Xenopus tropicalis: one gene and its partner. The protein of the gene in region 2 interacts with the protein of the main gene of each other region in a biochemical or structural test. Links are inferred from orthologs where the notes say so. Each region holds a gene or a part of one and is shown on either strand. Other genes may lie near its edges.

Region 1 (4,056 bases), on a different chromosome or scaffold from region 2:
TTCTGCTGATAGGCTTCTGGGAAAGGGGTGATATCACTCTAACTTGCAGCTCAGCATGTGACTGCAGTTTATTAGAGCACAGGTCACATGGTTGTGGCACCCTGGGAAATGAAGAGTATGGCTAGCCCCATGTGAAATTTCAAAATTAAAACCAGCAGGATTCTGCTGGAGAAGCTCTATTAACTGATGTGTCATGGGAAAACATGTTGTCCAATTACAGTAATCCTTTAAGCTGAAAAGACTATATTGAATATACATAGAATATTTCTTCCCTTTCAGTGCACTAAACACAATGAAGGGTCTTGGTTATGTGGTTAGGATGGTGAGGTCAAGATAATATACAATCTAAAAGAGGTTATCATGGGAAACAGGATCTTTCTCCAAAAATTTTAAATCTAGTTGAATGCCTAGTGTTTCCCAGAAACCGTAATACCATGAAATTTCAAACTGGACAACTGAAGGTGACATATTTCAGTTGCAATGTTGTTGACTTGAATCAAATGTGCATATATGGCTTCGCATTATCTTGTGTATTTGGATCAATCTGTTGCGGATGATATAGCCAACTCCAACAATTATGGATTTGGTGCATGCTGAATTTGTTATGAAGAGATCAATGAGCTTTCTGGATGTTAATTTACAGACAGTCCAAGGGCACCCACTGAGATTAGAAGGAAGTAGAGGGAAGGAGGACACATTGTTTGCAGCTACCCTCACATGTGGTGCCTACCTCTGATATAAATGTGGTTTGCCCTGCAAAGGGTACAGTCCTCTAAAATGCAAAAAGGTCCAGTTTAGGGCAGTTATTAGCCACAACGGTTTACAGGGAGAAAAAACATACAGTTGATGTTTTGTTTACCACAAGTAGCAAAAAAACCCAAAAACATTTCATTGCCCTCAAGGAGTGGAAAAAGGTGGAAATAGTAGTAGGACACACTAACAGTTGTATTGGCAACAATTAACTTCCGTAAGCGTTGGATACCTTTTATCAAGCAAAGCAGTACAAGGTTACTGTCATTAATACATCAGTACAATATAAATCCAAAAACTGCCCAATATACCAGTTTGCAGTGGAACGATTGCTTCCTTTCTGAGGGAAGTGGAAGGCTGCTTTGGATAGGGTTATTCCTTTTCCTTTGGAATATGCTAAATTAGTTTGTGAGTTAGATTATATTAAATTCCTAATGTCATACAAACATGCCGAGTATTCAGCCCTGACTTAAAATTAAAAGATGAACTTAATTGATGTGCTTTTCTTAAGCAAAGGTTGATGCCACAAAGGGCTGATTCTCGGCCTGTGGAAAAACAAAGACCGAAAATCAGGCCTTATACTGGCAACAGTCTTCTTTGCCTGCACCCGGAACCACTGAATCACAGTCTGCTCTTGTGGGATATCGACTCTGAAATGCAAACTCTTGTTTCTTCAAAGATTCCCGCTGCGTGTGCCTGCACCCAGCCAATTCAATAGTTCTGGCAAGAAAGGAGGCTGATGCCAGTGCTGGAGCTGATTCTCAGTCTAGGTTTTTCTGCATTATGAGAATCCGCCTGGTGTGGCATCAGCTTTAAAGGAGACATATTGGATAAATGGGGAAAAACAATTATTTTGTAGGCAATTATGAATAATATACGGTGCTGGTTTCCCTTTGGGCTAAACATTAACCCTATCTGTAACAATGGCCCCCTTATTGGAGCTCCCTATAGATCCTATCACGTCTCCGTCCAGTGTGAAATGAAGAGTGGGCGTGTCCCAACGGTCCCTGCCAGATGCACAGTAGTTAGGAGAAAGCCAATCACAGCCCGCAGGAAGTGGAACAGATGGGCGGGGCTAGTGGAGTTTTGATGGAATTTCTCAATAAATCAGTCAGAAACACAACATTTTTAAGCACAATCCTTCTATATTTAGAGGAGTATAATTTACTGGTACATTCTTAGTTTTTATAGGATATGTCTCCTTTAAACTACTGTTTTCTATGGGTAACCCTTTAGATCACTCAAGTGATTACAAAACTGGCACTTATATTGTAGTGTCACCCACTGTCACCTACAGCACTTATATTTGCCTATTTGTGTCTGTTAGTTACCCTCCCATATAGATTGTAAGCTCTACGGGGCAGGGACCTCCTTCCTCTTGTGTCCTCGACTCTTAACTTATTGCAGCTGTATTTATTGTTATACTTTCTATTTATCTATTATCTTATTAACCCCCTGTTTGTATTAATGTATTCTACTGTACAGCGCTGCGTATATAAGTAGCGCTTTATAAATAAAGATATACATACATACAAAGCAAGGCAGTGGGATGACATATAATGCTCACCTACAGCGGACCGTATCACCCTGCCTTTAGCAGTTGCTTTCTGGTCGTGCCGCAGTCCCTGCTGCTTCAGCCGCCGCAGTTGCTTTCTCATGCCGGTTTTGCTGCTGGAAAGGCAGGGCTTCGGCTTGCTGCTTGAGTTTCTTTTCTTGGAGCTTGACTCTGCACCTGTACAGGTTAAAGGGGAATGGTACAGGTCACACAACTTTGTACTTTTCTTTACAGTAAAAACCATCACTCATTGAACATTGCGCATTATTTGCAACTTGTGATAAGAATCTTGAGCCCATACATATTGCTGGACTACAACTTCCAGAAGGCTTTTAGCCTTATTTATATGTTGTTAAATGCTGGGGGTGGAAATTCATGTTTACACGGATACGTCCCCTACAGTGCCCCTTCCAAACTAGGCAATTGCCCTATCCTTACCGCTCCTTTCCTCCCTAAGCAAATCCAAGCCTTTCCTGAGCAGTGACACAGACATCCCCGCGGCTCCCGGTTCCAATGCACGCGTGCTTAAAATAAACAACTTCCGGCAGGCTCGGCACGCCACTTCCGGCTTAGCCGCGTACACTTCCTTAAATAACCCTTGTCTCTTAGTAACTGCGGCTGAGTTTATTTCCGCTTGCGTAGGACGGGGGGAGGGGCTTGCGTAGGACGGGGGGAGGGGCTTGCGCACGACTTCTGTATTTTCAGAAATTCCTGTCACACGGGTGCCAAACACTCCGTGCGATACGAGTTGCGCCCCTTTGTGTTTTCCTTTGAATGTACATTTTATATAGAACGTTTTGTTCACTAGCCCTGTGGGCAAATGTGTCACTTTTGCTTCATAATAATGCGGTACTTTGTTCACTTTGAGTTAATGTTCGTAGGGGATTCAATTCCCGCGCAAACTTAGAATGAGAGGCTGCCTGTAAAATGTTTCCCGCAGTAATATTCAGTTCAATCCCGCTTAGCCATCAAGCCGTTCTCTAGTTCCAGGGATGTAGAGCAGGGGGAATGGAGTTTTCAGTTTGAGCCTAACTATATGGCTTTCTGGTATATTTAAGTATACAAGAAGTTTGCCCTATGTCTGAGGGAAGGCTGAGCCCCCCCCCCCCCCCCCATACAGCTTTAACCCCTTCACTACAGCTTTACCCCCCCCCCCCCACAGGGAGCAACTTTATTAGCTTGTGTTGTGTGAAGTAACCCGCAATCACAACTGAAACACTTTTTATTTTACTTAAAGTGGACCTGTCACCCAGGCATAAAAAGCTGTATAATAAAAGTCCTTTTCAAATTGAATATGAAACCCAAACTCATTTCTTTATTAACACATCCATACCCATTATAAAAGCATTTAAAAATCCCAACTGTCAATCATATATTGCCTGCCCCACCTCTATGCCTTAGGCATAGGGGTGGGGCAGGCAGTTACTTTCACTTTCAATTCAGAACTTCTTAGATGTCACTGTACTCCTCACATTCCCCCTCCCTCCTCACCATCTAATTGTGTAACCAGTGCATGGGCATCAGGTCCCCCCATACAGGCACAGAAACAAGATTTTGGGGTGATACAAAGCTTGCCTAAACAGTGTCCACAAAATGGCACCTCCCTGCTTGCTGCAACTGTGAATTCCAAGACTGAAGAAAATAAGATTAAACTAATTTATATGGTGTAAATTAAATGTATTTTGCTTGACAAACACAAGTGAAAACAATCTGGAATTATTTCTTAGGGTGACAGGTCCCCTTTAAAGGAA
Region 2 (4,302 bases):
AGACCACAAGATGGTCAGAAAGCTATCAGCAGAATGTTTTGTAGCAGGGATTCTGTACCAGTTAATTTATGAAGCCCTAATAAGAAAGGTCTCAGTGGAGGTCACCACAAGTGTCCAACATAAAAAAAATTTGTGTATTTATTGTCTAATGTCCATTGGTAAGGCTGTAAGAGGAGAATGCTATAAATTTATCAAACTCAAACTAATTTTTTCTAATATAGTAAGGATAATTCTGTTATAAACTAAAGATTTTGCTAGCATGGTTATTTCTTTCTACTAGGCACAACTAGGCCTATAACAAAAATAGGCATCTTTACCTATACAGGGCCTGGGTGCCCAATCACTTGAGCTGGCATGAGATGCACCATCATCATCTTCACTGTCACAAGAATGAAAGCCACCAGCAAGATCATCATCCAGATGGATACCCGCTGTAAAAGAATTCAGCCAAGGGGTTTAAAACAAGGCATTTTCTGAAACAAAGACTGCACCAAGAACAACGTTTTCTATCCAATACACAAGTACATTTTTGTCTTTGTGGCAAAGATAACACATTTTGTAACAATTTAATAATCACTCTCAGTGAAAGGGTGTAAATGAGTGATGAGTGGGGTCACAAAATACACTTTTTCCTGGAACTCAATCTGTTAGTGACGTCACCAAGGTGGAGGCTCACAGAAAAAGATGATGGTAGGTATAACAATACCAGCACCTGGACCCACCAGAACCAGCAACCCAAACTCACCTGACCAGAGGACAGTTGATTTACACATCACTAGTGGAAATTTTAAATGTTTCGTCCACACCTCCTGAGTTGTTACTCATTGTGAGCAAAAAACAATGGGAACTGCCCTGTGTGCAGTGCTGATAATGGGAACTCATTCCCCCAAACCCTAGCACCCTCAACTAGCCTCCATTAGCCAACTCCCTGCTCCCATTCCACATGGACAATTATGCTAAAAAAGATCACAAAATGAGCAGATCTTCACCCGCTGGTCATAGGTGCTGTCAGACAATGCATCCCCAATCAGAAAACCACACCTGTCCCATCGAGATCTGGACAATTTAAGACTGTCAGTCGTGTAGGCCTGAAGGACCCGAATCGGAAGCTGAAATACCTGTGTATGGCCAGCTAAAGTGCTGCCCCAGTAGTATGGAGGCTGGAAAAGCACAGAGACAGATCAGGGAGTGGCAGTGAACTTGGCTCACCACCCACAAATTGCAACCCCTGGGTTATGCAGGTTTTAGGTCGACCTGCACTGTTGTGAAACCTCCATAAAAATGCAGAGTACCGTAGAGGAGATCATAGGTGCCATCTTCTGTTTCTTCAGATCCTCTTCATGCAACAAATCCACAATTTTTAGGATCCGGCCAAACCCTGAATCCTTTGCAAAAGATTCGGCCGAATACGGAACCGAATCCTAATTTGCTTATGCAATCTTCAGAATCTTGCTGAAAATGGCCGAATCCTGTATTAGATGCATCCTTGCACTTCACAGAACCTCCTTGCACTTCTTCAGAACCTGAGCAGTTGGAGCTACTCTGGGATCAGCTTTAACTATGCATGTCCCTCAGGCTCTGTGTCAGCAAAGTGAGGATACAAAAAGTGATGACTGTGACTCCCGTTACTCTGCATTTAATGGCAGGTTCACACACATGGACACTTTTAAATGTAACTTTGTGGGGCTAAAAGAGGCCAGTTAAGGAGCTGTTTTGGGGAGGCTGAAATTTCCTTCAGGAAGGACCCTTAAGTTTCTTTATCCTACCAGTACAAGGACAGTTAATGAGCTCTATACAGCCTATGTGTAGATAGTTAAGGCCAAGAGAAGGCAATAGCCTCCCTTTTGGGAAAAATGCCCTGAAGGGAAGAAAAGTAGTGATGTGCCTACATTTTAGCCACATCCAAGCCATTCACAGCCTGGGTTTGTACATGTGTAGTTGAGTAAAGCTCTTTGACTTGCCTGCTGTAGGGATTCCAAAGAGAAGGTAAGTGAAGATTTTACCCTGGGCTGGTGCATTTTTTTCTACAAAGGAGCAGCGGCCCAACTATAGGGTGTAAGCATAACTTTTAAGCTTTCTTGGGCAGGGCTCTCTTCACCTGTTGTATCAGTTATTGATTGCTTTATATGTTACTCTGTATGTCCAATGTATGAAACCCACTTGTTGTACAGCGCTGCGGAATATGTTGGCGCTTTATAAATAAATGTTAATAATAACTCACTCACATATACCATTGCTAATGTTTTTAAATGGAATATATGTTCAAACTTGGCAAAAGCACCTTCATTTGTATGGGTCAGTATTAGCAAATGGAAGGGAGAGAGGAGTAGCACTCTATACCCACTGATGCGCTGAATCGCCCACATTACTGCACTGAAGAACCTCCAAACACCTACAGAATATGCCCCGCCCAATGCCGCTGTTAGTAGGGAAAGAGTTAAAGGGAACCAACCTCCGTAATCAACAGCCTGATCCGACAGGTCTCCATTGGGCATCTCCTCGGCTCCGCCCTCCTCCTGGCCTTGTACCAAATACGTTCCCAAAGGAAGGCCCTGAAAGCCCGAGCCATTGTGCGCTCTGGATTTGCTTTCCATTGCCGAAGAGGCCTCGCCTTCCTCCTGGAGAGAAGCAGCTATAGGCGGCAATGCCGCTTTTCCCTCGCTTTCAGCCCCCACAAGCTGGCTCCCACCCCCGCCGGTATCTTCCAAGCGCTGCCTTTTGGAAAGGGGCTCGCCATTTTCTTTTGAGACAGCTAACACAGCGCCGGCAATGGGAAAACCTACACGATCTGAGTCCGCCATCTTCCCACTGCCAGAGAAGGAGTCGCCCATCAGCTGTACGATGGAGCGCAGCGAACCACGTGATACACCGTTTCCTATTGGTTCCCCGGCCGTGTGACGTGTACAATAACAAACTAGCCACTCGCATGGTACCTGGGGATGCGCTGGCACCGCCACAACGAACGGAGAGGGTGTTGGAAAGCGAAATCGGCAATAAAGTGTCATTTTCAGGGGTGTGTTGGTGTGGTGATTGTCAAGCCCGCAAAGCCTGTTAGCAGATACAAAAGCCAAAGGAGAGGGGCATTTTTTATAGTCCGTGTAAAAACTTTCTCTTGAAGTTGTCTCATGTCTAGGGGGAAAAGAACTGGGGAGATGCTGAAACCATTTTGGCGTCATTAATCAGTGTAGGTTAATAATATTTGGCTTAAGCATCATTTTTAGAAGCTCTGTGCATAACACATTTGTGGATGTAATTTGCCGAAATTGCCTTAAGAGGAAACTTGGGGCGACTTTGGCAAATTGCTGCGCATTGTATGCCACCCCACCAGCGATTTAAATTGTAGCCAGTGGGATGGCATTGCGGGGAGATTAGTCGCCCGCGACAAGGGAGATTTGTCACTAATCTCACCATGTGTCCCTGCCCTAAGGGGAAAGACACATGGAGCTACTAGTAGCAGCTACTTTTTCAAGGTTACTAAACTCCAGAGAATCCCCTGCCATAGACAATACTGAGAATTGCCAAAAAAAACACATAGAGACGGTTATCAGTAAATGATCAGCATTGTCTAATTTAGTAGCCACTACAAGTAGCTGCTACTAGTAGCTCTGTGTGTCTTCACCCTAAGGGCTCTGGCACACGGGGGAGATTAGTCGCCCGCGATAAAACTCCCTGTTCGCGGGCGACTAATCTCCCCGAGTTGCCTACCCCTGCCATCCCACCGGCGAACATGTAAGTCGCCGGTGGGATGGCAGACGCAGCGGGGCAATTTCAGGGAATCGCCGAAAAAGACTCGCGAGTGGGATGGCAGGGGTAGGCAACTCGGGGAGATTAGTCGCCCGCGAACAGGGAGTTTTATCGCGGGCGACTAATCTCCCCCGTGTGCCAGAGCCCTAAAACAGAATATGAACAACTAGAATGGCTATAGAGCAGTGCTGCAGTGCCGAGGGCCGGAATTTCTCTAGCATACGTGGTGGAGGGCCGCTAATGGAAGCCAGTTTTGACCACTCCCCTTTTTGAAACCACACCCACTTCAAACCACACACATTTTATCACAATGGTGGTAGCACAGCAAAATCCCAAATGCTTGGTGCTTACTGTGGGGATATCAACCATCATTCATATGTGAAAGAATTATGTCATATTAAGATATACCCTTAAATTCCATATGCCTCCTCCTCCCCTGTGGATAGCAGAGCAACCCCCAGTACATAATTACACACCTTAGGGACCATTTAATGGCTATTTCCAACTGCTAACAAACTCCCACAAACCCCTGCCAGGTTCACCTCCCACAAGCAGCAT

The links.
Region 1: the proteins of sirt1 (region 2) and rps19bp1 form a complex in vitro, tested with the Homo sapiens proteins (2 studies listed by BioGRID and IntAct). The link is inferred for Xenopus tropicalis from reciprocal best matches to the Homo sapiens genes SIRT1 and RPS19BP1.

The regions. Positions count from the first base shown.
Region 1 is NC_030680.2:121,078,644-121,082,699, forward strand, and holds the start of rps19bp1 (active regulator of SIRT1), read right to left. Parts: upstream 2,809-4,056; 5' UTR 2,799-2,808; coding exon 2,744-2,798; intron 2,483-2,743; coding exon 2,318-2,482; intron 1-2,317. UniProt on the Homo sapiens protein: Part of the small subunit (SSU) processome, first precursor of the small eukaryotic ribosomal subunit.
Region 2 is NC_030683.2:38,239,711-38,244,012, reverse strand, and holds the start of sirt1 (NAD-dependent protein deacetylase sirtuin-1), read right to left. Parts: upstream 2,802-4,302; coding exon 2,453-2,801; intron 432-2,452; coding exon of another isoform or gene 318-431; intron 1-317. UniProt on the Homo sapiens protein: NAD-dependent protein deacetylase that links transcriptional regulation directly to intracellular energetics and participates in the coordination of several separated cellular functions such as cell cycle, response to DNA damage, metabolism, apoptosis and autophagy.